Linked DNA regions of Yarrowia lipolytica. The protein of the gene in region 2 purifies or fractionates together with the protein of the main gene of each other region. This does not show direct contact. Links are inferred from orthologs where the notes say so. Each region holds a gene or a part of one and is shown on either strand. Other genes may lie near its edges.

Region 1 (3,748 bases), on a different chromosome or scaffold from region 2:
AATCAATTCTAGTCACATGATTATAGCTCACAAAATAATTTTTCAAAAGATTTGTGGTCCAAAAACTGCCACAAATGACGCTCCCAATCACCTCGCCCTTTTGCTCTCATGTAAGGGTCCAGCTTGCTTTTCAAAGTCTATTTTTGGTTTAGCACGAAGCAGTCATCCAAAACTAAGTTTGGATTTTAGTTGACTTTATGGAATTTTTAGTTGACCTGATACTTGAATATTTGTTTGGACGACCGCCCAAGATAAAACCATTCACATGAAATAGAGGTGATAGGATAGTACACATTTTGTGGTTAATTCCACTTGTTCGTTCAATATAACTCTCATCGACTACAATTGGCCACGTTAGTGGGTCCAGTTCCTACTCTAGCGAACACTACATGCCTACATGCTCTACAGTATGCACCATATCTTCAGGCAGCTACAAGTAGTAGAACTGATGGACATGGTATCTGGTCGCAGTTGTGCCGGTACGAGTAGAGTTCTTATATTGTCGTCTACTCGTACCTACAATCACAATGAGACAGCTCATTGGGTGCACTTCTGACCTGATTACGGTCAGTCAGTCCCGCAGTGCTCAGTCAGAATAATTTACTATTTACATATATACAAAAGACCTAGGCCTTGGAGTCGTCGCTGTACTTGCTCTGGAGCTTCTTGATCTCTTCGGGATCAAGAGGAGGAATAGGCACATCGCCAAAGTCGTCGGTACGCAGAGAGTACATGGTGTATCCGTAGATACCGGCGACAAAACCGGTGAGGCCGGCCAGAGCGAGCATGTTTCGCACAAAGAAGGGTCGTCGGGCCCGAATCAGAGCGGGGGACATCTGGAAGGTCTTGGGGTCAATGTACTTGCCCTTTCGGAAACTGTGTTAGAATGGAACGGTCGAGCATGGTCGAAGGTCAGGGGTCAGAGGTCAGAGGTCAGAGGTCAGAGGTCAGAGGTCAGGAGTAGGTCCTTCAAGATACCATCGAAAGTTTAGAGGGTGTAGTTGTGATAAAACCGACGTGCTGCTTGCTGTAGCAATTGATTGGCTGGTTGCGGCATGTGGCTAGCCACAGCAATGCAGAGTTCAAACGGGTCTGTCACAAGCAAGACAACGTGTAGATTTTCTGGAGAAGAGAAGGATGAAGGAGACACATTTCTCATTCACGGTGTTGTCCTGGTCACAAAATGTCCGTGTAGATACTGAACCCAGAGTTGCATTGAGAGATCAGTGGCTCTGATCGTCGCACGCAGCTGTAGTGTCTTGAAGAGAGTGAGATTGGTAGTTTGATTGCAAGTCGCTTTGGGGAATACCAACCAAACACGTCTCTTCAAATAGCCCATTTCAACCACAACTTCTCTTCACACTCCCGTCCACCATTAGCCACCCGAATCCAACCTCCACCGCCAACACTGCCTGAGTGTCGCAGCCACCTCCTGTCTCTGATTACGACACATATCATGGCGTGTCAATCTCTCGATTGTCGTGATACTCACACTTTGAGACCGGGCTGGGGTTGCTTGTGCACCTCAAAGGTGCCCTTTCCGTTATGGGGATCCTGAGACATGTTTCTGTGATGTGTGGGTGTGTGTGATATGAGCCCTTGGGTGGTGAGATTTTGACCTCATGAGATTTTGAGTTTGGAGACAAGGCGAACAGGTAGGGTAACTTCATTGCATACAGGATGCGCTCTCCTGGATATGTGGTGATGGGCCAAAAGATTTTGAAAAGATTCCTGAATCAGTGCGACAATGGCAAAAATTCAACTGCGACACAAGAAACGGTTCAGCGCGTTGGGAAACAAGCCCGTTAAGAAAGCGGCGTCTCCAGACAGAGCGGGCTCCGCCACGGACACCCCGACTGCTGTTCCTGAAAAGCTGACTGAGAAAGAGGAAGAGCTCAAGACTAGCACAGAGGAAACTGCGGTGGAAAAGACTCCGGCTCAGACAGAGTCCCCCGTGAATACCGCTGCATCTTACAAGCAGACAATGGTGCCCAACTCGGTCCGAAAACGGCTGAGAGCCGAAAAGCGAGCTGCCAAGGGCCAGTCGGTTGGGGCGGATGGAAAGACTGTGGTTGTAGAGACTGCGGTTGTAGATACTATTGCTGGTGATGCGGCTGCGGACTCAACGACAACTGAGACTCAAACTGCTCCGAAACGCCTCGGAAACCTGTTTAATTTGCGAGCCCAGCAGGAGAAGGAAGTAAGGGAAGACACCAAGGTCGAGATCATCAAGCCACAGGCTATTGGGGACAATGTTACACAAGTGGCTGAGCCACCGATTATTGTAGTTTCTGAAAAAACACATGCCCAAACGCTGGATGCAGCGCCTCGGCCCAAGAATCGAAGCAAAGATCGAGAATTTGAGAATCTGGCGAATGACAACATCCACGAGTTCTCAGTGGACGCTTTCACGGAGGAATCGGAAAGACTCAAGGCCGAAGGAAAGCTTGACGAGTACAAGCGACCTCTTACGGCCATTGGAGGAGGCAAGCACCAGATCACCAGTCTGTTGCGACAAGCCCAGGACAACAAGGAGCAGCTGGAGGCGTCATACTCTCAGAATCGCCTTACCCAAAAGGAGAGTGGAGCAAAGTATGGATTTTAGAGCGAAAAATCGTGACTGCACGACTATGTTTACTGTATTATATATTTATTGCATTTATTTAAAATCAGATTTATAAGTGTAGAAGATCTCTTCCGTCCTAATTGTAGATTGTCTGCTCTACAGTAACTCGTTCGCTCCGCATAAATGATTAGACCCATTACCACTGTACCTGTACATACAGTAGTCGTATCGCAATACCAATATCTCACCTTGACATCCTGTATAATCCAAAATATATTACTTTTCACTAATTCCATCCCATCTGCATCTATTTGAAGTCCTTGAAAGACCACTTCTCGGTCACCTTCTTCTTGTATCGGGGCTTGAGGTTGTGTCGCTTTCGAGCCTCGATCTTTCCTCGCTGCTGCAGCGATCGGAACCGGTCTCGCATCAACGATCCCTCGGGCTTGAGTCGTCGAAGAGAGTCTGTGAGCTCGCCTGAGAGCTTGACATCGAGAGTGGGCTCCAGAATTTCGTATTTGCCGTACCGACGGGTTCGCACCTTCTCGGCAGCCTCGCCTCCTGCAATGAGATCCTTGAGATCCTGCTTCTCCTGCTCGGACTTCTCGGACCGCTTGGCGAGCTGTTGCATCTTCTCATGAATCTTCTTCATCTCCATCTTCATTTGTTTTCGAATTCGTTCCTTTTCCTTGTGTTCTCGCATCTGTCGTCGCTTAGCCATGCTCTTTCGCTTCTCCTTGGCAGGCGCGTTGATAGACAGACCGACGCTACCGCCCTCGAGTTCCTCATCAGAGGCCTCCTCCTCTTCCTCCTCGGACGAGTAATCCATCTGCTTGTCCTCGTGGTCCTCCATGGTGTCCATGAGATGCTGGACACGGGCTTGGTCGGCCTCCAGCTGCAGTCGTTCCTCCTCCAATGCCTCTTCCTTGGCCAGCTCCTCCTTGAGAAGAGCCTGCCAGGCCTCCAGAGAGGGATTGTAAGATCGACCCTCGTGGGGAACCTCAATAGCCTTGTCAGTGGCTCCAAAGACAAGAGGCTTGTGGTCCAGAGTGGAAGGTCGCACAGTGCTTCGGGTTCGAGAAGTGGCCTCTCTGTGATCACCGTTAGCAAAAGTAGCCCGCATGATGTTCTCAGGCTTAGCAGACTTGGGCATGTATGCAACCCGAGATCCAGCATTCTTGA
Region 2 (3,492 bases):
GCTCCCATTGTCTCCGTTCGATGCGGTTTCTCCCACCCCATCAACTTTGTCATTCCTGCTGGCATCGAGGTGACTACACCCATCCCCACTCGAATTCTCATCAAGGGCGCTGACAAACAGCAGGTCAAGCTGTTTGGAGCTTCCATTCGACTCAAGCGACCCCCGGAGCCTTACAAGGGCAAGGGAATCTACCTCGACGACGAGACCATCACCCGAAAGGCCACCAAGGTGAAATAAATGTAAATAGATTGGTTATGAAAAGATTTGACACGACACCAGTAGCATGTGGCTTCTGTTGAGGTTAGCATGAATCGCGCAACCAACAAACCTGTAGAAACAGAACCTGTACTTGTACAGTAGCGCACGCCGCTTTGGCTATACCCTCGCATGACATATCTCGAACGATACCCCGACAAGAGGCGATGACAAGGATACCAACTCGTCTGAATGAGTATCTGAGTCTGACAGTCCGATAAGATACCGAAGCAGTTCTCGTACTACAGGCTAATGTATATATCATATCCAACAAACGGCTCGCTCTAGAGACTCTCATTATTGATATTATCCCAAAATGGATCCATAGGCCGCTACATTCACGTCTACAACTCAAGCAGGCTAGTCATTCTATGTACATAAGCTGAATGTCGACAGTAGCGTCGCATTCTAGGATTCGTCAACATGACAAGGTCTAGTTAACAAGATGTTCCTCCTCATCAATGATGAGGGGATCAATGAGTGAGTCGGCCAGGTTGACGACTCGTCCGTCTGGGAAGGTCAGAGACCACTCGAGCACTCGGAACTTTTCTCGGCCGGAGGCTCGTCGCGAGTTGAAATGCATGATGGCCTCGGCCTTGTTTCCCTTGACGGGGAAGGAGAAGTCCACCTTTCCAACAAGAGGACGAATGGTTCCCGACACCCAGGTGTAGGCACTGGCGAATCGGATACCCGAGCCCAGCTCCTCGTTGGCCAGGGGCGACTTTCGGAGCGTGTACATGCAAGATGAGACCTGCGAAGACGACATCTTCTCGTAGTTGAAGGAGAAGGCCAGAGACACGGTCATGATGACCACAAACAGACCAAATCCGGCCCATCGGCGCATCTTGTGGCTGGTAATGTTAGGCAGCTCCGTGTCCACGGTGACAGGTGCATTGGGCACCTTTTCGGGCGTGAACGGCTCAAAGGTGTGGCCCTCGTAACGTCGCAGGTTTCGGTCTTCGGGCAGCAGCTTTTCGTCGTCCTTCTTGGCGTCGGTCGACTGCTGGTGGAGCCACAGACGGCTGGTTGTGGACAGGGGTCGGGCGACCGAGAGAGGTCGCAGCAACGAAGGCAGAGCTCGTTGGGGACGCAGTAGTCGAAGCATTGTGTGAGTGTGTGCGAGGTGTGTGGTGGACTGCTCTGATATTGTAAGACGTACGGTATATTTGCTTTTATAGTTTGTATGGGTGTGGGTAGAAGGAGCTCTCCAAAGACCACCAGTAGCAGGTGTTTGGGAGCAAGTTGCACCGGAAAGAACTAACAGAGAGATTTGCACTGTAGATGTGGGTTGGTTTATGGGCAATTGGGGGGAAAAAGACCCCTATCGATGGTCATACTGTCCGCTTAAGATTACTTTCACCTCAGATTAACTTACTTAACAAACAGACTCAGCGTTACTTGAGAAATAGCTACAATTGTATCGAGGAAACAGATGACTTCAAACCAGCACCAAAAAGTGTGGGATTGAAAAAAATGACACCGGCAATCAACTTGCAGAGTCCACCATGGTATTTCAGCTCTTTCTCAGCCGTTGTCATTACCCCCCCTCGGTTCCTAAGTAAACGCAGGTTGGTCCTCCCACCTAGCTTCAAAGTTACCCTACCGTGAAATTTCCCAAGATTTTGACATTGCAGAACCACCACCCAGATCTGATCACACACACAAAAATGTTGCCTCGACTCCGTCTCATGGCAGAGGCCACTCCCGTGCGCGTGTTCAGCCGCGGCGTGGCCCAGCTCATCTCGCCCAACGCCAACGTCCCCGCCGCCGAGGCTCCCGCTCGAAACAACTCGCCTGCGGCCGCCTACGCCCGAAAGCAGCTGGTGTCTCGAACCGGAGCTCTGGCGTTCAAGCGAGGCATGATCTCGTGGTACGACGAGAACGGCGTGCACATGCCCGCCACGGTGCTGGAGATTGATCTGTGCCAGGTGGTGGGCCACAAGACCGAGGAGAAGCACGGATACAACGCCGTCCAGGTCGGAATGGGACACAGAAACAAGGCGCTGCAGAAGATGAACAAGAGCAAACTCGGCCAGTTTTCGGCCGCCACCGTCAACCCCAAGCAGGCGGTTGCCGAGTTTCGAATCCGCGGCAAGGACGGCCTTCTTCCCATCACCACCGAGATCACTGCCTCGCACTTCAAGGTCGGCCAGTACGTCGATGTCCAGGCCACCTCCAAGGGTAAGGGATTCTCCGGAGTCATGAAGCGACACGGCTTCTCCGGTCTGCCCGCTTCCCATGGTGTTTCGCTCAAGCATCGATCCGGAGGAACTACCGGTCAAAACACCGATCCTGGACGAGTGTTCCCCGGACGAAAAATGGCCGGAAACATGGGTAACGAGACCGTCACCCTCAAGAACCAAAAGGTGCTATCCGTTGACGAGGACACCGGAATTGTCATTGTCAAGGGCATGGTCCCCGGCTCCAAGGGCAAGATTGTCAAGCTCAGCGACGCCCGAAACATGTACGGCGTGGCCGCCCATGATGTCAAGTCCAGACTCGGTCCTCTGGTCCCTGAATAAATGTATATAGATCGCATAGTGCAATAACCGCGGAAGCGGATAACAGAGAATCGACGGGGTAGATAGATGGCTTGTAGAACCGCATAAGGTCGTGGACAACAGCCCTCTCCAGGCGAATCGTTGCTACAAGTAGTTGTACATACAAGATACTATTACAAGTACAAGTATACGGGCACAAATACTCGTACTAGTATCGTACGATGGTACACAGATATTTTCAACAATATATTTACTGAATGATATGGATGGTCTCACTTACAATTTTGCTCGGATCTTTGGCTCCGCTCATGATCTACAAATCCTCGTCCATATCGGCGGGCTTGACCAAACCGCCAATCTTGAGAGCCTTCTCCTTGTTCTGTCGCTCGGCCTCGACCCGATCCCGCTCCTTGTCCTCGGCGTACAAATGCTCCGTGTTGCCTCCGCCATACTCCTTGATCTGCACCAGGAAGTCTCGCAGATTGAGCTTGAACCGGGGGAAGTCCTTGTGTAATGCAAACAGACCCTCAATGAAGTTGGACACCTGGCCCTCGGTCAGATGAGGGAAGGCCTCCAGCAGCATGTGGCCCATGTACTGCCGCAGATAGACAGAGTTGGACGTGCCATCGGGCACCTGGCCGGGCTGGTACAGAGGCACCGAGATGGCGTTGGACTCGACCAGATCAATCTGCTTGGCCAGCACCTGGCACTGCTGCTTGAAGCCGGCCTTGTGGTC

Evidence for each region.
Region 1: the proteins of YALI1_F13597g (region 2) and YALI1_A05220g purify together in Saccharomyces cerevisiae (affinity purification with western blotting; 4 studies listed by BioGRID). This does not show direct contact. The link is inferred for Yarrowia lipolytica from reciprocal best matches to the Saccharomyces cerevisiae genes COA1 and COA3.

The regions. Positions count from the first base shown.
Region 1 is NC_090770.1:521,199-524,946, forward strand, and holds YALI1_A05220g (uncharacterized protein), read right to left. Parts: upstream 1,564-3,748; coding exon 1,493-1,563; intron 877-1,492; coding exon 627-876; downstream 1-626. Other genes in the region: YALI1_A05229g (uncharacterized protein), read left to right, coding at 1,748-2,605; YALI1_A05254g (uncharacterized protein), read right to left, coding at 2,874-3,748. UniProt on the Saccharomyces cerevisiae protein: Required for assembly of cytochrome c oxidase (complex IV). With COX14, negatively regulates COX1 translation and is involved in MSS51 association with newly synthesized COX1.
Region 2 is NC_090775.1:1,358,350-1,361,841, forward strand, and holds YALI1_F13597g (uncharacterized protein), read right to left. Parts: upstream 1,361-3,492; coding exon 689-1,360; downstream 1-688. Other genes in the region: YALI1_F13579g (mitochondrial 54S ribosomal protein uL6m), read left to right, coding at 1-237; YALI1_F13602g (mitochondrial 54S ribosomal protein uL3m), read left to right, coding at 1,923-2,777; YALI1_F13644g (uncharacterized protein), read right to left, coding at 3,070-3,492. UniProt on the Saccharomyces cerevisiae protein: Required for efficient assembly of cytochrome c oxidase in the mitochondrial inner membrane. Involved in a step coupling MSS51-dependent cotranslational insertion of COX1 to the addition of its heme A and copper B cofactors.